2 linked regions of the Kluyveromyces lactis genome follow. The protein of the gene in region 2 binds, or shares a complex with, the protein of the main gene of each other region. Links are inferred from orthologs where the notes say so. Each region holds a gene or a part of one and is shown on either strand. Other genes may lie near its edges. The genes, in order: NAT3 and MDM20.

Region 1 (2,883 bases), on a different chromosome or scaffold from region 2:
TGTACGCTCCAGACAAGGATCAGCAGCAAGTTCCCCAACAACACCAGCAAAAACAGCAGCAGCAAAGACAGCAGACCCGCCAACAGCCTGTTACCGAAAAGAAAGTTCCTAACCAGCAACAGCAGAAGTCTGCGGCTCCTGCTGCTCCTGTGGCTGCGGTGGCTCCTTCTGCTGTTCCAGATTCTGAATTTGATTTCGAAAGTAACAACGCCAAATTCCAGAATGCTGAAAAGCCCAGAGAATCAGATATAGAACAAGAGAAGCAAACCTCCAAGACAGATGAGATTTTCTACGATAAAAAATCCTCATTCTTTGATTCCATTTCAAGTTCCGCCGTAGAAAACTCGTCTTCTGCCAAATGGGAAGAGGAACGCCAGGTCAACTTGGATACTTTCGGTCAAGCCAGACCAAGAAACAATGGTCGTGGCGGCTTCAGAGGTCGTGGTGGATATAGAGGTAACCGTGGCGGTAACCGCGGTGGCTTCCGTGGTGGAAATCGTAATGCTGCCAACAAGCCACCAGTCCATGATGTTGAATCTTAACAGAACCCCATTAAATACCTATTATCTCAACTACCTCTTAACACACCGGGAAATTGAAGCTAACACGAAATGAATCGAGCAATCTATCGAAGTAAAAGCAGGGAAAGACGCATGTGTAACATAGAAACACTAAGTATACAAATTTAAAAGCTATTATAATTTTAAAAGTACAGCATTAAAACCGTATGTCCATCGGCAAGCAATTATGTTTCCGTCCATCAGCACGAAGACTTTTTCCCTGGTCTCTTTCCATCCCATGTCTCATGTCAAAGGCATCCTTGAGGTCATTTGGTTTTGTTGACCGGGAAGGTATTGGATCAGTTTGCGAGTTGTAATATCCTACAACTCTTCTATAGACAGAATATCCCAATTTTTCATATAAACTGATCGCCAATTGGTTATTGCATTTCACAAATAAATCAATAAAGTTCACATTATGCGGGGAGTTATCTGTTATGGTTTTTAATGTGTCACATAGCATCGATGCAAGCGATATTCTCCTGAACCTAGGTGATATCGTCACAGCAGTAATGTGTGCATGCCAGTCTTGTCCTTTTCCCTCTGTTTTACCCATCATATATCCCGATATTTCATATTCCTCTGAACCGTGCAGCGGAGAAGTCATCTCTATGCTCTTGAACATTAGCGATGGCCATAGAATTAGATATTCAAGATAAAACTCAATAGGAAAGTTCTCTGTAAATGTATCTAGATTCACTGCATTTAAACTGAAAAAATCAGTAGCCTCAAATGGCTGAACAGATGTCATATTTCAAACGTTGCTGTAGTACTAGCAAGTCGTTGCTTAGCGAGTTATCTTGTTCCCGGTAACCTTTTTTTTTTTAGGTGCTGCGAAGGTTCAAATTGGTTGAATCAACCTTTACATGTTTCTTTGAAAGATGTGACAGTGTAACTCAGGTCACGTGAGTACAATTTTCTTCGAAAGAGGAGGTCTATCGAGAAGATTAACGCCATTTGTTCCACTAGTAATGGCTCAATACTAGGTACACGCCCTCCGCTCGACGGAGTGGCGTTTTTCTGTTACAGCTTATATGTTTATGATACTTCAGTTATACATTAACAAACTCCTTCTGAGTTCTATCACTGAAAATAAGGTTTGGATCTGAAAAGTAGAAAGAAATAATAATATATTAACTATGATGAACTATATATGACTACTTTAGCTTCCACATCACCAACTTCTTTGAGGCAAGCGAAACGCAAATGCTATCTTTGTAAATGTCTAAAGACTTAATTCTATCCTCTTTGCCATATTTTAGGGGCCATGTGTCAGATTTCCGTAAATCCACGGCATATAATCCGTTATCTGCTCCAACGACTAAACCACCAAGTGAATAAGACACTTGCAAAATAGGCTGAGAATAACTATCCTGTGGTACTACAGTGGCAATATTCTGTAAGATAGAATCGTAATGCGTCTTTGTGGTGGTGGTTACTGTCTCAGTAATTGATGCATTGTTACTGATATATTCGTCTAGAACACTCCGTTGTGGGATGGAAGAGGAGTTGACAGACAAATCTTCAACAGTATAATCATCCAAGCTCGGAACTTTTGTGACAATAATTCGCATATATGGAATATGGGATGTAGCGACAGCAAGGATTGTTGTGCTATTTATCTGTAGGATGTGAGAATTTATAGGATGCCAAGACGGTGTGAAAGAAGTGATAAGCATATCGGAAACGTTGAAAGAATGGGTACTAAATTGTGCCGTATTTAAAGCAATGTTAGCAACATGATGTATTTGATGATTTCTGAATTTGAATATCATAATTTGAGTAAAATCTTGTCTTGCTAAGAATAACACAGGACATCCGTCCTCAGAGAATGCTAACTGTAGTGCGGTACACACAGAAAGGAGCTTATATTCACTTACCTTACTCGTTTCTTCCGTTTCCAAATTGTAAACGTAGGCATTAATTGTGTTATTCAACGAGCAATAGAAACAGAGTATCTTTCCATCTTCTAATAACACCATTTCCATGGCCATTACAGCTCTTCCAGGTAAATTAAAACTCCACGATTGACTGTTGACACCATCAACCAAGTTTCTTATATTAACCTTACCGTCAATTGTACCCGTATAGTGAAATTTTTCTGTTATAGGACCAAAATATTTGATGATGCCCGGCTGGCTAATCGAATCTACCGTCACATTATTATGATCGACATCTGATACGATCAATTTTTTATCGACTGTGGCACAGGCAAGAAGATTATCCGTCAAAAATTTCGTCTTTATAACAAGAGATCTCTGCTCTGATGTCGATACCACTTCTTCCCATGCTAATCGGTGGTTCCAACTAGGTATCGTAAATT
Region 2 (4,392 bases):
GGACTCGAATATCGACCTCAAAATTGAAAACAACTTGTCAGTTAAGTTTCTAAATAACAACAAAACAAAAAAAAATTTGTATTGGACCCTTAAAATCCAACACAGGAACAAACCACAAATAAGATGAAACGTGGATTGTATGAGAATACCTGTACCTACAGCTAAATATCAACCTTACCACGCATTAAAAAACGCGCTTTTAAACAATTAACTCCACGAAAGATCGCCATAACATTACTGTTTTTTGTCATTTGCCTTTATATAACAGAAATTGTGTTGATGTTTTTTTTTTTTCAATTTCAAAAATAGATTTTTTGCTGCTAAAACTAAGCAGAGCCAAGATTTGACATCTCCAGCCGAAGGAATGTCATTTACAGCCGTGGAAAATCGGACGGTGCAGAACCCTGATGCCTTATTTACGTACCTACCTATGACATTATACACTGTTTACGGTTTATTTCGTGTCTTGTTTCCAGTACAGGGGGGAGACCGAGTACAGGAGTGAATTGGGGGATTTTTACTTCCAACTTTATCTGTGCAAAGTCATTAGTAATGATAAGTCTTTTATCTTCCCAGTTCCTATTGATATCTCGATGCCCTTTTTCGTACCTTTCTTCGCAGGCTCGCGCACCGTTTAGGGAAAACTTGTGCAACCGTTTTTCTTTTTCCTTTTGTCTCGTTCGTAACACGTGCCTGGTATCTCAGGTGTTTAGTATGTATAGGATATCTAGTTCCCTATATGTTACGGATTGATTTTGACATCTGGGTGATTTCAGTAGCAATGTCACCGGTTAGTTTTGAGTATGAGACCGTTTCCAGTAGTTTGTTGCCGTTACCAACCGATTGGACCATATCAGCGTACGATTTGAACATCGGGACGCAAGTATCTCTTGTCTCTTTTAACTTGGTCTTTATCAGTTGCTTGACGCTTTTGTCCTTGATGCGTTTCATTTGGTCTAGTGACTTTAACGTTGCCAAGGTGATTAAATAGCTATGGTTCAATTCCCATGTAGACTTGCTGATTTCTGGACACTGTTCTATTAGCATCGCCATGGCCTTGTAGTCTATGGCCTCTGTTTCCAGGGAGTTGTAGAGTAATTTGATGAGTTGCCAGGTCCATAGTTCGTGCTGAGACATCAATTCGCGCAACTCTTCATCGTTTGTGGTAACGAGTGTATCGTCGATGAACCTATTGCGTTCGTTTTTAGTTAGGCTGTAGAAGATCAACTCTCTTGTAATGCTGATCTTCAACCATTTGGTACCGACGTGGATTGGTGCAAGCACCGTTTGGAATCGGGTCACATCGTCTGTACCAAAAATGTCAAAATCTCTGTTATCGCTCCAGTTTTCGTTGTGGAAGTTGTTTTCGCCGAACGTGTTCAAACTCTCAATGAGTGGTTTGTATTGGTCAAGTTTCTTCTCGTTCAATAGCCTGGACATTTGCAACGTTTCCACCATAGCGTCCCACCTGGTGAACGATTGGAAGATCCTCTGGTAAAATTCTACGATTCCAGGTACTTTGCACCAACTTCTACGTTCAAATGAGGCAACTAGGAACCCACTCATGTTCTTTAACGATGAATAGATCGCCTGTGGCTGTAGGCTTCTTTGACAATACTTGTAGTTCTTGTTAGGCAGGAACGTCGAGGAACGTGTGAAGAGCCAGTGGTTTACCAAATCGTTTTGAACATTCTTGATGTTCAACGTCTCCAAATGGGCAATGGCTTTCTCTGGTAATCCCAGATACATGTATAAGAGAACAAGCCATACCCTGGTGTCATAGTTGAAGGGGTCTTCTGCTTGGTAACCTTCCAAGAGCGAAATGGACGTAATGACGTTCTCTAAGTTCACTTTGGAGTCTTGGCATAGGTCTTTCACGATTTCAAGGATGAAATACGAGCAGTTAGAGTAATCTGTCTTTGGCTTTGTTGACAAAGATTCCTTATGTTTCAAGAACAATTCCAAATTATCACCTTTGCCGAACAATTGAGCAACAGCTTTGTCGTGTATCAGCCCCGAAGGCAGCTTTGAAAACATGGTCTCGATTTTCACTGGGTTCAATTCCAAGCTATGAAGATCGATTGGACAACTAGGTTTATCATGATATTTCTCGATGAACTGAAACAGGTAGTGATCTAGCCTATCGTCATAAAGTTTTGCTGCTGCGACTCTTGCTAGTATGTAATTTCTCGTATTCTTGATTTCCAAAACTTCCAATAACTCATCGAATGACTTGCCAAGTTTGTAACTTGCATCTATAATCTTTTGCAAAATACCATAATCGTCAAGGTTATTCAATAACGAGATTCCATGTTTCCAAATGAGTTTATAATCGTCTAATTTCACCAAATGGCCCATAAGGAAGTTTTTCAAATAAAGGTCTAAGTAAGTACCATGTTTCCAAAACTTGAGGATCTCGTCCACGATCTCCTGTGATTTATCCTCAAACAATTCACAAACTTTACAGAAAACGATCAACTCTTGCTCATTCTCAAAAGGTTTCAAATCGCTTGTCAATTTATATGTCAACTTAGGTAAAAGATCCAATTCCCTTTCGTTAATGTTATCTTTATCCAACTGAAACCATACTACAGTAGCAATACTGTTCCAGAATTGGAACAATCTCGATTTCGATTTTTCATTGACTCGTGGCATCTGGAAACTACTCTTACTCAAATGTCTCCAATTTAAATCCCTCAATGACTCCAAGAACCAATCATAACATGTCTCCGAATTACCGTATTTCATCATTGCTCTTTCATAAGGTTCCAATGCACTGGTGGTGTCAAAACCTAATTCCAACAAAAATCGATGGCACATTGATAGCGATTTCGCATCGCTTGGAGGAGATTTGGCATCCAAGATCAACTTTAACCCATTTTCAAAACTATATTTCGCAGGAGATTGCCTGTACTTGACATATTGCTCTAACACTTTGTAATAAGTGGCGGATGGGTACCGTTTCTGCAATGATGCAACAAACTGTGAAGCTTTCTTAAACAGTTCCCTATCTAATAGCTGAAAAAGCTGATGATCTTCAGAGTTCATATCAACAGTTTCCACTCTTCGTGTTGGTCGATATCAAATCTAACAGATCAAACAGCAACGAACACCGTTACTGCCAGACATACCGGGTTGTTCTACGAACGACGTGCGTATGAGGTTGTTCATTAGAAGTTTGAATGCTGAATTAAGCCAATATCGTAATTTTTCAGTCTTGATTACCCGGATAATAAACTATAACTGTATGTGTATCCATAAATGTAAACGGCACAGCCTAACAAGGGCATCAGCGCTCTTACTGCTTGAAATATAAACGCAAGACCTCACCATACAATCCCCACCCGCGTTGAATCTGATAGAAGCCAGTTGGCAGACGATACGAACATTTTCTTTTCGAGAAACTATCCTTTTCTATTTTAAATCATCACTGATGAGCCTTAGTTTCTTTTTCGGTACATTGAAAATTTTTGAAAAGTTAGAAAAGGCGATGAGATGAGATGAGATGAGATGAGATGAGATGAGAAGAGGTATTGAACAAGGTTGTCCTGATCCTTCCAATCTATACATCGTCGGTCTAAACACTTTGAGATTATTGTATTACACTTGAGTAGTTGGAAGGAAGAAAAAGCCAAGAACTGCTAAGCAAATCCTTCTATAATGTCGAGTATTTTCAAGACTTTGTCTCGTAAGGATAAAGACGGTAAGAAGAACAAAAATAATGCGGCTAACAGTGACAGTAATGAGAAACAGTTCATGAATAAGCAACGTACCTTACTTATTACGTCCAGAGGTGTTACTTATAGACATCGTCATTTGGTTCAGGATTTGAACAGTCTTCTACCACATTCGAGAAAGGAACCTAAGTTGGACACGAAGAAGGATCTAGGACAATTGAATGAGATTGCGGAATTGTACAACTGTAATAACATTATATTCTTTGAAGCTAGAAAGCACCAGGATTTGTACCTATGGCTATCAAAGCCACCAAATGGACCAACAATCAAGTTTTATTTGCAGAACCTACATACCATGGACGAATTAAACTTCACTGGCAACTGTTTGAAGGGATCCAGACCAATATTGTCATTTGATGGTAGATTTGATTCTGAACCGCACTACCGTTTAATTAAAGAACTTTTTATCCATAACTTCGGTGTACCACCTCAAGCTAGAAAGTCCAAGCCATTCATTGACCATATCATGTCTTTCAGTATAGTTGACGAAAAGATCTGGGTAAGAACGTATGAGATCTCGCATGAAGCTAGGAACAACGTTGAATATGAGGATAAAGAAGAAGATGAAACGTCGTTAGTTGAAATTGGCCCACGTTTCGTGATGACACCGATTTTGATCCTTGAAGGTTCATTTGGTGGTCCAAAGATCTACGAA

The links.
Region 1: MDM20 (region 2) and NAT3 share a complex: the UniProt entries of both Saccharomyces cerevisiae proteins name them as parts of the N-terminal acetyltransferase B (NatB) complex. The link is inferred for Kluyveromyces lactis from reciprocal best matches to the Saccharomyces cerevisiae genes MDM20 and NAT3.

Annotation. Positions count from the first base shown.
Region 1 is NC_006038.1:984,379-987,261, reverse strand, and holds NAT3 (peptide alpha-N-acetyltransferase complex B subunit NAT3), read right to left. Parts: upstream 1,312-2,883; coding exon 718-1,311; downstream 1-717. Other genes in the region: SCD6 (Scd6p), read left to right, coding at 1-542; KLLA0_B11253g (uncharacterized protein), read right to left, coding at 1,718-2,883. UniProt on the Saccharomyces cerevisiae protein: Catalytic subunit of the NatB N-terminal acetyltransferase, which catalyzes acetylation of the amino-terminal methionine residues of all proteins beginning with Met-Asp or Met-Glu and of some proteins beginning with Met-Asn, Met-Gln or Met-Met.
Region 2 is NC_006041.1:1,575,074-1,579,465, forward strand, and holds MDM20 (Mdm20p), read right to left. Parts: upstream 3,049-4,392; coding exon 736-3,048; downstream 1-735. Other genes in the region: ribosome biogenesis protein BRX1, read left to right, coding at 3,661-4,392. UniProt on the Saccharomyces cerevisiae protein: Non-catalytic subunit of the NatB N-terminal acetyltransferase, which catalyzes acetylation of the amino-terminal methionine residues of all proteins beginning with Met-Asp or Met-Glu and of some proteins beginning with Met-Asn or Met-Met.